Linked DNA regions of Pelodiscus sinensis. The protein of the gene in region 2 purifies or fractionates together with the protein of the main gene of each other region. This does not show direct contact. Links are inferred from orthologs where the notes say so. Each region holds a gene or a part of one and is shown on either strand. Other genes may lie near its edges.

What was found. Proteins that work in one complex are often made in the same cells at the same time.
Region 1: the proteins of EIF3G (region 2) and EIF5 purify together in Homo sapiens (affinity purification with western blotting; 3 studies listed by BioGRID and IntAct, with this or other methods). This does not show direct contact. The link is inferred for Pelodiscus sinensis from reciprocal best matches to the Homo sapiens genes EIF3G and EIF5.

The regions. Positions count from the first base shown.
Region 1 is NC_134714.1:20,702,884-20,710,185, forward strand, and holds the start of EIF5 (eukaryotic translation initiation factor 5), read right to left. Parts: upstream 3,238-7,302; 5' UTR 3,082-3,237; intron 2,962-3,081; 5' UTR 2,768-2,961; intron 2,480-2,767; exon of another isoform or gene 2,301-2,479; intron 622-2,300; exon of another isoform or gene 483-621; 5' UTR 414-482; coding exon 342-413; intron 48-341; coding exon 1-47.
Region 2 is NC_134729.1:14,996,225-15,004,113, forward strand, and holds the start of EIF3G (eukaryotic translation initiation factor 3 subunit G), read right to left. Parts: upstream 3,038-7,889; 5' UTR 2,899-3,037; coding exon 2,879-2,898; intron 2,493-2,878; coding exon 2,446-2,492; intron 1,924-2,445; coding exon 1,804-1,923; intron 1,723-1,803; coding exon 1,634-1,722; intron 1,039-1,633; coding exon 979-1,038; intron 702-978; coding exon 597-701; intron 404-596; coding exon 214-403; intron 1-213. Other genes in the region: DNMT1 (DNA (cytosine-5)-methyltransferase 1), read right to left, coding at 5,947-5,984, 6,389-6,479, 6,747-6,863, 6,979-7,142, 7,446-7,641, 7,792-7,889. UniProt on the Homo sapiens protein: RNA-binding component of the eukaryotic translation initiation factor 3 (eIF-3) complex, which is required for several steps in the initiation of protein synthesis.

The sequences.
Region 1 (7,302 bases), on a different chromosome or scaffold from region 2:
ACCATGTTGACTATAACTGTCTTTATTCCATTTCCTTTGCCCTCAACCTAAGGGGAAAAGTTAAACTCAGATATTTATGTCACTATAACACTGTTTAAAAGCAGTATCAGTATTAAAGAAAACTTAGAGTATAGTGACAAAGCATTGTATTAACACTCAGGACAGCTGGTGTCCATTATTCCCAGCTCTGCCATTTACCTACTGTGTGACCTTGGTCAAGTCACTTCATATCATTGTTTTTCGAAAAAAAGTGGGAACAATACTGATTCAAAATGCTTAGAAAAGATACGTCAATAAAAAGCTCTATAAAATAACAAACTTTAGAGATCAGGAAGCATTACCTTTGCAATCAGACGGGGCATTTTGTAGCGATAGAACTGATCTGAAACACTGCGGTTGACATTGACAGACATTTTGTCTTATTAGTAGCTTTATCAATAAGATGAAGAGATCTTTGATTGCAGCTTTTTGGTATCTTCTGTCTGGAGAAGACGGGATGACATAAACGACTGCAAGAGTTCTCGGTCTCTGACATGAAAAAGTTTTTGCCACTGAGGCTGTAAGGTTCTTGCTTGTATGCTATGTTCCCCCAATACAGGTACCAATGGCTGCGCAACAGCTCTGCAAGTGTATAAATTAAAAAAAATAAAGGGGACAGTTTAGGCTGAACTTTCATCAAATATATTCATGCTGCAGGACATTATTGGATCTGAAGTTTGTTGTGACCAGGAGAAGTGAGACTATTTGGAGAACAAGAGTTTCCTATGCATTTAGTTATATTTGCCTGTGTAATTGTTGTTGAGGATCTGCAGCTGAACATCTGCTACTGTAACATCTGCTGTTCTGCAAAATGCCAACTTTACACAGGATGCAACATCCTCTCCCCACTCCGTTTCCACCTACTAGTGTTATCAGAGGAATGTTGTATGATCAGATGGGTGGGAAAAGTATGACACACAACATCCTTGCCTATTAAGGGGCACAGGATGCAAAGTCTTCTGGCTTCTTCTAAAGCAGTCAAAGAAAAAACAGACCTCAAGTTCCCTTGGTTATGGTATTACTGATCAGGCTAATTTTTAACTGTTTGGTTTACTTACATCTAATTATCCAGAGTGCCATGAAATACCTAGTACTACCAGACACGCTCCAAATATTTAAGCTGTTTTACATTTCTAGACTTACTTCTGTGGCACATAAATGTTCATTGACTGACCCAATCCTTCCCAAGCATCTCAGAAGAACCCTATTATTGCATCACTTACACCAAATATTTGCTGTTACGAAAAGGTTACCTATTTTCTAATGGTACTGTGATTAAATATTGACTCACCAGTTAGTGAGATACTGCTCGAGACAAGTTTAATCTTTTCAGTTATTTAGAATGACTGGATACACTAACACATTGCTAGTTCAAGTAGCTTATTCTGAAAGAAATGCGCTGTTTTGTTGCCATTATAGTTTCAGGCATTTTGTGCAAGAATGCGTTTTTCCATACTGGAAAAAACCCACTGTTTCCCCAATACTTAGTAGCACTACCTGGAAGTCACATTTAAAGTAGTTGATCAAGAAAGGCAGTTAGCTGGATGGGGTATAGTGGATGGCATACCACAAAGGTTAACTTGGTTTTGACAAATAATGGTACCTTTAGTTTCTCTACTTTTATTCTCCCCAGAAAGAGTTAGATCACCTAACCATGCTCACAGCTCCCTTTCCAATATAACAGACAGTTCTTCCCCAGAATACATGTAAAATCCTAGGAGTGAAAGCTAATTTTAAAAAAGATTTCAGAGCGGTAGTTGTTAGTCTGCATGGCAAAAACAAGGAATCTGGTGGGGCATTAGAGCATAGGGTTTCATGAGCCACAACACTTCCTCAGAAGAAAGTGAGCTGTAGCTCACGAAAGACTACAATCCAATACATGAATAAATTTGTTAGAGTGCCACTAGACTAATTTTAAGCTTTAGAAACTAGAGAGCCCTTGAGTTTTACTATGCAAAAAAAAAAAAAAACAACCCCAGCTTACACCATGGGAGCTAGTTGACACAATCAGGCTTAGTCTTGCCAAAGAGCAGCAATGAAGAACCCTTGTATTTGAGGGAGTGGGGGTTAAGCACAGTGGATTGAGTTTCATTCCCAGAGGTGCTTGCCACAGCACCTTGAAAGCAGTCATCATGTGGCCGACACACGTGGCTGCACGGTCATGGAGGAACCAGGTACTTCAGGAAGAAGGAGACAGGAAAGCGTGTGGTCTCCGACACATGACTGGCTTTTGTCTGCCGCCGACCGCAGCCTCCACCCACCTCCTGACACCGCCTCCGGATCCCTTCGCGCTGAGCGAGCAGCCTCCGCCCGCCTCAGCCATGGGATGACTCATAAATGCAGCGAAGGGAAGCACTGAGTCAGCCCTAAACAGAAAATGGGAGGGGGGGGCAGCCCCCATTGCGCATGCGGGGGCCTCCGCGGCATCTCCCCTCTAACTCGCCCCTCCCGATGTAACCCCTGGAGGGCAGCCCCCCCACGCTGCGGATTTCTAGCTGCGCCACACAGCTTCCCCCCCCCCCCAAGCATCACGAGGCGCGGGCCCAGCGGCCGCCATTTTGCCTCGTCGCACGGGGACCAGGGAACAGGCCACCACGACTGGGGCGGTCAGCGCCACCCGTTGCCCCCGCTTCTCGAGAACCTCGCCCGCCGCCCGAGGGGGCTGCGAGGACCCCGCTCCCCCGCCCCGGGACGCTCCCCCTCGGATCGCGCCCCGGCAGCCGCTCACCGTTTTCGTCCAATAAAGACATAAACCCAACGCTGCTCGCCCCGGGCTGCGACGAAGCCGAGTCTTTAAGGAGAACGGGACCGATGGGCGCTTATATCGGGGCGGAGAGGAGGCGGGCGCCGCAGCCGCCGGATCCGAGCGTCCTGGGGCGGGCGGAATCAGCAGCAGCGGCGGCGGCGGCGGCGCCAGTCAATCTGCGGGGGAGACACAAGGGGCACCGTGAACGGCGGCACCTGGGAAGGGGAGGGGCGGACGCCGCTGAAGCCGAAGGGGGCGGTTGCTGGTCGCCCCTGCAATGGCTGCCGCGTACTCACCTCTAGAATGTTCTCGCTCCGACTGAGCGACGCCACGGCTGGGATCAATCAGCCAGCGGCGGGCCGCACCACCCTCGCACTGCCATTCGCTAGCCGCTCGCCCTCCGCCTAAATTATTGGCTGTCGCTCGTGTCAATCAATCCCCTCTCTTTCCCCCCTGCGCTCTAAAGGACATCGCGTCTATAGAGGTCAAAACTCGCGAGAACTAGAGGGGGGGGGGGAGGAGGAGGAAGAAAAGAATGAGTCATTCAAGAGCCCAGGCTGCTGGGGCTGTGCGTCAAGTGGGGGAGGGGTGGGCAGGCAGGGTGGTTGGTCTTTTTGGCTGCTGGTGGGTGAGGGGAGAGCTCAGAAATGGTGCTGGTCACCGCTGGGAAACGGGTTGTCCCCTTCCCTTGTTTCTGGAGGCTAAGCTCAGGCAGTGCACCCTTCTGGGGCTCTTTGTATCCCCAAGCCCTGTGTACATAATACCCCTCCAGTGCAAAGAGCCCCTGCAATCAGTGCCCCAGTCCTTGTTGCCAAGGGCTCGTTGTCCCCTCATCCCCCATCCAGGGGCTCTAAATCTTTCCCATTCCTTCCTCTGCCTGCCGCCCCATGACAGAAGCTCCTTGTGCCCCCTCTTTTCCATAGATGATGTGGCAGAGTCTGCATGCACCCACTCCCTTCACTGCCATATGCCAGGGCACTGTGGCTCCCCTTTCCTCCCATGCCAAGGGCTACATAGCCTCCCCTTCCCCATACCAAAGTCCTTTATTCTTCTCCTGTGCCATGGACTCCCATGTGGTTCCCCAATCCCTCCTTTCTCCCTTTTTGGTAAGCCAGAGGCTATGTCTAGACTGCATCCTTCTGTCCACAGAGGGATACAAATCAAGCATAGCAAAATTGCTAATGAAGCTGAGATTTAAATATACTGTGCCTCATTAGCATAAAAATGGCCACCGCTTTTTTTCTAAACAGAATTTTTTCGAAAAAAATGGCAATCTAGACGTGGATCTGTCAAAAATAAACCCTTTTTCGACAGCTCCTGTGTTTTCGTAGCCCCTGTGTTTAAAGGAGCTGTCGGAAAAGGGTTTATTTTCAACAGATGCGCATCTACACTGCCGTTTTTTTCTAAAAAAACTCAGTTTAAAAAAAGCGGCAGCCATGTTTATGCTAATGAGGCACAGGATAATTAAATCCCAGCTTCATTAGCAATTTCGATGTGCCTAATGTACATCTCTCTGTCGACAGAGATGTGTAGTCTAGACACACCCAGTATGTCAACATTTTAAACTATTTCTATTATGCTGGAAGGTGCTGATGGCTGCTGTTAACCAGTTCTTTGATCTCTAAGCCTTACAAAGATGAACGAAAGGGTTTGCAAATCAGATCCACCAGGCACTGTATGTCCCCCTTGTACATTTTCCCTAAAATCAACAGGATTTTGACCACTGATGTCTATAACATTCCCTGATGCTTTTACATTGATTGAATGCCATGTTCAAAAGTTATTGCTTTCAATACAGCCAGAGAAATATCAATTTCAATGTCTGGCCTAATTTTGCTCAGCCAATAAAGAACCCATCTGGAGTGGGGTTTAAAAAGCTAATTTTAGAAGCAGGCATGCAGCCTACTACTTTTGTCTTGCCTCTCAAAAGAGACATGAAAACCCTGGTCTCCCTGTTACACAGTTATTGTCCTTATTTCTGCCAGCTTAGTTGTGGTATGAATGTGGCACTGAGCAGGGTCCAACCCCACAAAGGGGCATGAATCTCCAGTTGGGTCTGCCGTATATAGTCTCCATTACTACTAACTCTCCTCTTTACTGGACAAATGAGCAGAGATGTCTTCAGGATACGGTCTTAATTTTAATAAAAGCAGGGAAAGCCCAGAAAGCGGAACAATCCCTGTTTCTTGCCCCAGCCCTTATGTGTTCCCTCATTCCCCCAAACCAGGGGATCTGTACCCCTTCCATTCCTTCGTCTGCCTGCTGCCCCCTCATGCTAGGGAGGCCTTGTGCCCTGTCTTTTCTGACCCCTATTTTTCTGTTCCCTATGATGGCAGAAGTTATAATTCCTGTCAACAATATTGCTAGCTCCCTTCCTCACTGGATAGGGGCACTGAGTGGGGCTAGCTTTGGGAGCTTATTTTGAAAAATATTAAGTCTTATAAAGGACATGAAATTCAACCCATTTTGCCCATCTTCCACTCCTTCTAACCCAGTATCTTAATTGCTAGGTGCTACCACTAATGCCTTGTTCCTTTTCACTCCCCCTAAATGGTACCAAACAGAGCCAGCATTAGGGTTTTTGAAGGCTCCTAATAAAGCAGGAATTTAATATTTTTATTATTGTATAATACAAATAATGTAAAAGTGGCAAGGCCTGAAATGGGTATTACTGAGATATTATCAATACAATTAAATATACTCATTACTTCTCTGTCTTAGTGTTCTTTGCTCCCTTTTAAATATACTCAGATAACAGCAGAAGAAACCTTAGTCCTTGTCATTTGGCATATTTTAATGCTAATATTGTACAGTATTTTGAGTGTTAGGCAAAGGTAAAAGAAAAGGATGGAGTGAAGTACTTCAGAAATAAAGTAAAATGATTAATAACAATAGAGAATAAAATGTATACAAGATTAGGTTTCCAAGCCATGTTTACATTAGGCCATCACTAGTACCAAGTTATCATAGACAGAGGGAATATTCTTGTTGGACCTTTTGTGACTCTGAAATGCTTTTTTTTGGTCTGTCGGAAAAAGGAACAGCAAAGTGCAAAGGTGGCTGATAAATGTGATTTTCCAAGAGGACACAAAGAAAAAGCCAGGCTACTAAGGACATGATCAGTGACACATTACAATGAAAAACAGGGTTCCTCAGCAGTAGCAGCAGAGCTGGAGTATAGTTACCAGAGAATGTGTGTTTTTCAGTTTTTAGTGCTGTCTTCTAACAAGGCCCTCCTACATCATGGCTGCTACTGCCCTAGTTATACAAGTTCTCAACCTACTGAATAGCTAGTGTTCAGGGCAAGACACTGGCCTATAAAATGAATATTCAGAACTATGTTGAGCTCTGATTGTCTGAGGATGACATACAAAATCCTCAAATGTTTCTTTAAAATGTGCACAAAATAATTATTTCCCTCAAAAGGCAAAGATTTTAAAAACTGCCTTAAAATGTAAATCCAAAACAAGGAAATGTATCTCCAAAACATGTGAGACTAGACAATTATCAAGAGGAAAAAAATAATCAGAATGCAAGATGCAAGAAATGTACAACAAGAAATTCCTCTACTGTGACAATATGCCTGGACATATCATTTTTCTCAGTGCCTCCTTTCTGTGACTTTTCCTTCATAGTACAACACATGTGAAGTTAATAAATTACTAAAAGTGTGCTGCTGCCAACATCACAGCATGGCTGGTTCAACAGAGGCTTTGAATTTGCAGCATTTTGACCTAATGAATAACTCCAGTCAGGTCTGATTACATGGTATTGAGATGCAAATGAGATCTATATTTTATAAAATATATAGTGTTATAACTAATTTAATAGATTTTTTAAAATGTTAGTCCGAATGTATCGTGCAAGCACATTAATCCAATGAGTGCTGTCAAAGAACATCACTTTTTAGTGATCTTTATATAAAATATACCCAAAAATAAATGTAGATTCTTTGTTTTGGGGGGCAAATTTTTAATTTCATCTGAGAAAATCTGACTTTAGATTTCAAGTACTTTTACTGACTGGAAGTAATTGTAATTGTGTTCATTTAGAAACTACTGGCTCTGAAGAGACAGAAATCATTCCCCCCCCCCACTTTAAAGTCATGCCTTCATGAGTCACAAAGTTCATGGTTAAAATCACTGGTGTGACCTTCAAAGTACAGGCCACATGAAGCTTTGCAGTTCACTGCTATAAATTAAGCAATCTATTATATATTTGAAAGAGTTTGTTTATGGGCGAGCGAATCTGTCTGTTCTGTCTGTTCAAGAACTCCTCCTAAACGCTTCAGCGGGTAGCTAAGTTAGTCTGTACAGGATAAACTTAAACAACAATAGTTTTGTAGTACTTTAAAGACTAACAAAACATGTCAATGGTATCATGAGCTTTCGTGGGCACATTTGAAGAAGGGGGTCGTGCCCACAAAAGCTCATGATACCATCTACATGTTTTGTTAGTCTTTAAAGTGCTACCAGACTATTTGTTGTTTTTTAAGTTTACCCTCCTAAATGGTAAGA
Region 2 (7,889 bases):
CCCGGAGCAGCAGGGGCGCCTGGCACTGGGGGACCCAGTGGGAGCATACAGCAAGGCAGCACAGCCAGGTTCACTAAGCCTTCACATAGCCCCAGATCTCTGGACACAGCCCCCTGCCCATCTCCCACGCCTGGGGACCTGCCTTGCCCCCGCTGGCCAGCCCACAGTCAAGCCAGAGTGCCCCATTGTGCCCCCTGCCCTCCCCAGCCGCACCTCCTGGGAGCTTCTCCTTCTCGCCCGTAGACAGGCCCAGCTGCTCGGCCAGCTCCTTCTGCATGGGGCCCAGCGTGTCCTTGTAGGGGCAGCGCGTCGTCCAGTGGTCGCCCTTGCAGATCCGGCACGACACGATCTTCTGCCCCTTCAGCTTGTTCATGGGGTCCTCCTCCTCCTGGCAGTTCAGGTCCTACAGCAGAGGGGGAGCCCCGTCAGCCCCACGGCGCCCTCCTCGCCAGGGGCAGGGCCCCGGACTCCACCCCGGCGAGCCTGGACTCCCCCCGCCTCTTAGAGCAGCCCAGCTCCAACGCACGGGGGCAGGAGGGCCCATGGGTTGCTGTCAGAGCCCTGGGCCCCCCCGCCACTCCCCGCTCTGCCCTCACCTCCTTGCTGGTGATGAAGGTCATGAAGACGTCATCGCTCACGGTGGTCGTGGCCACGTTGGGGCCCGGAGCGTCGAACTCGGAGTTGCCGAATTTCTTCCAGTTCTGGGCAAGAGCCAATGAGCTGGTGGGGGAGGGGCTGAGGAGACCGTCCCCCCGTTCCCCACACGCACTCCCTGGGCCTTGCCGTCTCAGGCCCTGACACCAAGCGTCCTGCAGGCACGGGAGCCCCGGCTGACACCGGGACCCAGCTCTGCTGCCCAGCAGGTCAAGGGGCTCCCAGGGGAGCAGTGGGGTGGGACTAGGCTGGGGCACTTCCCAGCGCCCTGCACACACCTGTGATCCCACCCCCCGGCCAGCGGCCAGGGCCGAGCTCACTCACCTTCCGACGCGCCACAGCCTTAGAGGCCTTCCTGGTCTCAATGCGGAAGGTGCGGATGATCTGGGACATAAGCACAGAAGAGCAGCCCGGCGGGGTCAGACCAACGGCCCACCCAGCCCAGGGTCCGGGCTGCCGACAGCGGCCACTGCCAGACGCCCCAGCGGGACCGGACAGAGCCCTCCAGTGAGCCGCCCCCCTTGCCCATTCCCAGCCTCTGACAGAGGCCAGAGACTCCATTTCTAGCCACCCTGGCCCTTGGCTCTGGACTCAGCAGCCCCCTGGCTCTGCGAGCTCCTTTCGAGGCCTTTCCCGGCTGCTTTGGACTGACCACAGTACCAGTCGCTGAGAGCCCTGGGGTCAGGTGGGGTCACAGCTTGCCGGGGGGGGCCTGCCACCCCATGCTCCAGCTGCCATGCCTGCCTGCCGGGCCATGGGGCAGGAGGGCCACAGGGCGCGTGGGGGCTTCGGAGGGGGGTGAGTCCTAGCAGGGCCAGTCCTTGCGATTAGGAGAAAGTGGCCGAGAAGCGAAAGCAAATGAAGCCCCAGACTGGGGAGCCCCACTGCTCAGGGGCTGGGAAGGGCTTTGCAGACGCAGGATTCCAGCCGGGAGCCCAGGGAACTCTAGGGCCTGCTCTCCAGCGCCCCCCCCACTCACCTTCACTTTGCGCCCATCCTCCTCCTCCCGGTACTCTGTGATGGTTTTGATGTTCCCGTTGATTAGCTCCTTTGGGGACGGGAGAGGACCTACAGAGGGAAGGGGAAGCCGGTAAGAACTGTGAGACCAGGTGCTCCTGGCAGGGGGTCCTGCACCCCGGCGGCTCTTACCTCCCTTCAGCAGCTCAGCATCTGCGCTCAGGTCCACGCTCTGGGGGGTCACGGTCGGGGTCACGCTCAGCCCCCCACTCAGGGGCAGGTCCTTCAGCAGCTCGCTAGTGACGCATTTGTCTGGGAAGAGAAGCGAGGTCGCGGCACTGATCTAAGGATGGGAGGGGAAGGACGCCCCCTCCGCCCCGGGGCTGGGAGAGGCTGCAACCAGCCTGCCCCCCCCGGCACAGAGCAACCAGCCTGCCCCCCCCTCCTCAGACCATCCCCCCCCCGGCACAGAGCAACCAGCCTGCCCCCCCCCAGACCATCCCCCCCCCCGGCACAGAGCAACCAGCCTGCCCCCCCCCTCAGACCATCCCCCCCCCCCGGCACAGAGCAACCAGCCTGCCCCCCCCTCCTCAGACCATCCCCCCCCCGGCACAGAGCAACCAGCCTGCCCCCCCCTCCTCAGACCCCCCCCCCCCAGGAGGAAGCCCCAGGGCAGGGGACCCCCAGGCTCTGGCCCTGCAGCAGCTCAGCGCAGTCACCCGCGTCCCGGCAAGTGGGGGGGCCCGGCCCCCGGGAGCTGCAGGCTCGAACCCGGCCCCCAGCCGGGAGGGGCGGGGGGGTCCGGGGGGGTCCCGGCGCGCGGGGGCTTCTCACCATCGTCGCCTTCCTCCTCCACCTGGTCCGCCCAGCTGGGCTTCGAGCTGCGGGACAGAGACAGTCACAGAGCGGCCCCCCCGAGAGACCCCCGGCCCCGCCCCCTCCGGCCCCGAGAGCCCCCCGAGAGCCCCCCGGCCCCGCCCCCCGAGAGCCCCCTCGGCTCCCCCCGGCCCCGCCCCCGAGAGACCCCCGGCCCCGCCCCGGCCCCGCCCCCCGAGAGCCCCCCGGCCCCCCCCGCCCCCGCGCCCCCCGAGAGACCCCCGGCCCCGCCCCGGCCCCGCCCCCCGAGAGCCCCCCCGGCCCCGCCCCGGCCCCGCCCCCCGAGAGCCCCCCGGCTCCCCCCGCCCCCCGAGAGCCCCCCCGGCCCCCGAGATCCCCCCCCGGCCCCGCCCCCCGAGAGCCCCCCGGCCCCCTCGGCTCCGCCCCTCACTCGTAGTCCCCCGTGGGCATGGCGGCGACGGCAGGACTCAGCCTCGCTCCCTCTCTCGCGCGGGCCGGAAGCGGAAGCGCGCGGGGCAGCGAGTCGCGGCTAGAGCGGCCCCGTGGGCATGGCGGCGCGGGGCCTGCTGGGAGAGGGCGTGGCGCTGCAGTGCATGCCGGGAGCCGCACCTGGCCGGGAGCGGGGAGGGGCGGAGCTGGCGCGGTACATGCCGGGAGACGCACCTGCTGCGGGGCTGTAGCGGCGGCGCCCCCTGCTGGGCGGGGTCCGGGCTCCCGCAGGGCGCAGCGCTGGGACCCCCGGCCATAGCGCACATGGGGGGGGCGCTGGGACCCCCCGGCCATAGCGCACATGGGGGGACGCTGGGACCCCCCGGCCATAGCGCACATGGGGGGCGCTGGGACCCCCCGGCCATAGCGCACATGGGGGGACGCTGGGACCCCCCGGCCATAGCGCACATGGGGGGACGCTGGGACCCCCGGCCATAGCGCACGTGGGGGGACGCTGGGACCCCCCGGCCATAGCGCACATGGGGGGCGCTGGGACCCCCGGCCATAGCGCACGTGGGGGGACGCTGGGACCCCCCGGCCATAGCGCACATGGGGGGCGCTGGGACCCCCGGCCATAGCGCGGGGGGGGGCGCTGGGACCCCCGGCCATAGCGCACATGGGGGGACGCTGGGACCCCCGGCCATAGCGCACATGGGGGGGCGCTGGGACCCCCGGCCATAGCGCACGTGGGGGGACGCTGGGACCCCCCGGCCATAGCGCACATGGGGGGGCGCTGGGACCCCCCGGCCATAGCGCACATGGGGGGGGCGCTGGGACCCCCCGGCCATAGCGCACATGGGGGGTGCTGGGACCCCCCGGCCATAGCGCACATGGGGGGTGCTGGGACCCCCCGGCCATAGCGCACGTGGGGGGACGCTGGGACCCCCCGGCCATAGCGCACATGGGGGGTGCTGGGACCCCCCGGCCATAGCGCACATGGGGGGCGCTGGGACCCCCGGCCATAGCACACATGCGGGGCGCTGGGACCCCCGGCCATAGCGCACATGGGGAGACGCTGCGGCTCCAAGGCACAGCCTACTAGGCAGCACTGCTCCAGCAAGCCTGCCCCAAGGTTGGAAACGTCAAAGGGAACAGCTGGGAACCGCGGGGCAGGGGCCAGGCCTCTCCCAGGGATCTGCCCTGCTGCTGAGCAGAGTCCGGCCTGCGTGTTCTCCCCTCGCTGGGGCAGGGGCAGCACGGCCCCAGGGCACGGCCCTGGGTTGTGAGCCCACCTCATAGACCGTTGCCGCCCCCGCCCCCCATTTCCCACCCCTCGTAGACCCGTGGGGCAGAGTGAGGCGCCAGTAGGAAAGGGAGGCGTGCAGGCTCCAGTTACGCCATTATTAAGTGCTCAGATGGTCCTAAGTTGGACGGGGCTGCGAGTGGGTCAATTCAAACTGATCCGGACAGACTGGAGAAATTGTCTAAGCTACATCGGGTGAAGTTTAAGAAGGAGAAACGCCAAGTGCTCCACTTAGGGAGGAACAATCCGTGTCTCTCACACAATGGGAAGTGACTGTCTAGGAGAGTTCGGCAGAAAGGGAGCCAGGGGTCAGAGTGGACCACAAGCTAAATGAGTCAGCAGCCTGACACTGTTGTAAAAAAAGCCAACGTGACTGTGCACTACATGAAGAATGATGAACGGTCTGGGGAACATGACGGATGAAGGGAGGCTGAAGGAATTGGCTTCGTTTAGTTTGGAAAGGAGATTTGAGAGGGGACATGAGAGCGGTTCTCAGGTATCTAAAAGGGTGTCATGAGGACAGAGAAAACTTGTTCTCCTTGGCCTCTGAGGACAGGACAAGAAGCACTGGGCTTAAACGGCAGCAAGGGAGGTTCAGGCTGGACATTAGGAAAGTTCCCAACTGTCAGAGGGGGTCAAACACTGGAATAAGTTGCCGGGGGAGGGGGGGGGGGGAGTTGTGGAATCTCCATCGCTCGTGATACTTAAGAGCAGGTTGGACAGACCTCTATCAGGGATGGTCTAGACCAGGGCTACTCAACACGTGGGCCACGTGGCTGTGACGTAGTGGGGGTACCTGGCTGGTTTCTATGCTGCTGGCTCTGGGGTAACCCCACTGGCTGCAGTTGGTACCACGGCCCAGCAAACCAGGATGAGTCATTATGCAAAGAGGGTCTCTCAACCTGTCTGACCAGCCACCCCCCATGGAGAGGAACAAAGGAAGGTGGATGCTGCCCTGGCTGGGGGGCAGGGCTGGAGGAGAGGTGGTTAGTTCCTGGCTGGAAAGCAGGGGAGAAGGAGCTGGGGAGGGGGCTGGGACTCCCCTATCTCAAGGGGGGCACTGAGGCCTCCTAGCCCCAGTTCCTGTAACCAGATGACATCTGTGCTGGGCTGTATCGTGGAGAAGCAATAAACTCCCCGCAACCCTGTGGAAGGCCTGGCCAGCCCAGGCACAAGCAGCAGAACGCAGAGTCCATGGAAAGACGGAGGCTTCTGAGAAACTGGAGACCCCGGCACCCTCCGGAGACATCTCGCTGTTCACAGGCGTGCTGCATTCGGGCCCCTCCGGGAGCAGCATGGAGCCCAGCGCCGCAGCGGTACAGCCATGGCCTCGTGCCGGCTGGGGGGGCGAGCAGGATCAGGGGGAGCCTGCAGCGCAGCAGCTTCCAGTCGGCGCCTCACACACGGCGCAGCAACAGCCGCCAGGAAGGGGAAGCAGAAGCGTCCCCGAGGGGATAATTTACAGGCGAGATTTATTTGAAGAAATATTACAACATATAAAAACTACAGAGTATTAATTGCCACTCGCAGGAAGTGGCTGATTATTTTCAATGCATAATAAAAACATCGTCCTTAAAATCCAGAATGCGGTGGGGCACTGCACAGCCGATCACGAATGATTAGTAGTGACACTTGGACCATCACACACAGCTCCCGCGGCGCCAGGGAGACGAACACGGAGACAGACCTCGTCACGGCAGCAAGCCCAACGAGAACAGAACACACGAAAATCAGTGCATGGTTGAGTCCGAGGCCGGGGACTCGGGCTAGTCCGCCACTTCCATCTTGGCTGCTTTGCTGGGCTCTGCCAAGGGCCAAGAGGGTCAACGTCACCCCAGGTCCCACTTCAGCCTGGCCCCCCAGCAAGGCTGAGAGTTGGGAGCCACTAGCCAGTCTGGGCAGCAGGCGGCGCCGTAACACGAACACCCACAAGCCGCCCGCTTTGAGACCCTGGCGGGGCGGCCTCCGGGTGCCACTCAGCCAGCTGCTCAGGGACCTTTCTAAAGCTGCGGCCCTGCCGATCCTCCCCCAAGCCGGGCCGGGCGGGGGCGTCGAGCGTGGGCAGCAGGCGGCCAAGGGGGAGAACAGACGCCAGCCCACTAGCCGAGGACAGACCGCCGAGCCCGCAGGAGGGCAGCCCCACGGTTCCGTTTTCACGTTCCCTCAGCACAGGCACAGAGGCCCGGAGTCCGCCCGCCCCCGAGGTACCTGTGGCCTCCTCTTTCATTTTCGCCGACACGCACGCCTTGATCTCCAGCCCGATGGATTTGGCCAGCGGCGGAGGCACCGCGTTCCCGACCTGCCGAGAGAGGGGGGAGCTCACACGGGCCCAGATCCGGCCACGAGCTCCCAGTGCGATCACACCCGTGACCCTCTGAGCCAGCCCCTCTCCCCCCCGGGACCCTGCTTCCCAGCCGCCTCTCTGCCCCCTGCTGCTGAGGCGGGGCGCTGGCCCTCCACCACTCACCTGCTTAGCCCCCCGCCCAGGAGCCCTCCCCCGCCGTGAACCTAGGGGTGGCGCTGGGCTCGGCTCCTGCGCGCAGACGCCCCGCCCGGCGACACCCACCTGCCTGTGTTTGTCCAGCACGTTCCCGAAGAGCCTGTAGGTGTCAGGGAAGCCCTGCGACCGCGCGCACTCCCGCACGCTCACCACCCGGTGCTGCTCCGGGTGAAGCACCCGGCCCTGGTAAAGAGAGGCAGCTGTGGCCAAGGGCCCGCACAGGAGGCTCTCGCCCACAAGGCCACGCTGTGTGGCCGCCTCCCCGCCCCCCAGCCCCTGCCAGGTCGCGCTCACCCACCTGCTTGCCCATGGGCTCCGGGTTGGTGACGGTGGTGCTGAAGAAGCCGTCCCACTCCAGCCGGCCGTACAGCCCCGCCCAGTGGTTGTGCCGGTTGCCGGTGTGGGGCAGGCACCAGGGGATGAGGGTGTTGAACTGCCGGTCTGCAGGGTCGCACGGTTTGCCTGCGGGAGAGACCAGAGCGCGGGGGTGTCCTGGGAACGTCGCTCGGCGCACACTGGAGGGCGGATGGCCAGGAAGCCGGGCGCACAGCCTGGCTCCTCCACATTGCAGCCCGCAGTACCCAGCGCCAAGGGCCCTGTGTTTAACCTCAAGATGGCAGCCCTGGGGATAGCCCAAGAGGCGCGCTCGCCCTCTGTGCTCGTTACAGCCAGACGGGCATTCCAGCCTCAAGGGAGGGAAGAATCAGCAGCGCCCCCCAACCCCTCCTTGCTGCACGCTCAGGCTCTGCGGGCACCCGCTTGTACCTTCCGCGCAGGAGCACACCCCCCGCAGCGCTCCCGTGCTGCTGCGCCCGTTCTTCTTCTCGTGGTGAGTGTAACGCAGCTTCCGCGTGGTGGTGCCGTCCGACAGCCGCACCTCGATGTTGGGCAGGTCGCGCCAGTCTGAGCCCGGGGCCAGGGGGACGTGCCTCATGCGAGCAGCTACCAGCGCACTCATGTCCTGCAAGGCCAAGCCCCGGCGTTACCCCAAGCCGGGCAGCCACCGCATCTGGGCCTCAATCCCGCCCTTGGCCATGGGGCGGGGCCAGTCCCGTGCGATCCCAGCGCCCCTGCGGGGGTCACGCCCTGCCTGGCGTGGCCAGGCCCCCACCTTGCAGATGTGGTCCCTAAGAATGGGCTGATACTGCGAGCCCCGGATCTGTCTCTGGAACCAGGACTGGGGCTCCCCGTTGTAGGAGATCTCCAGAG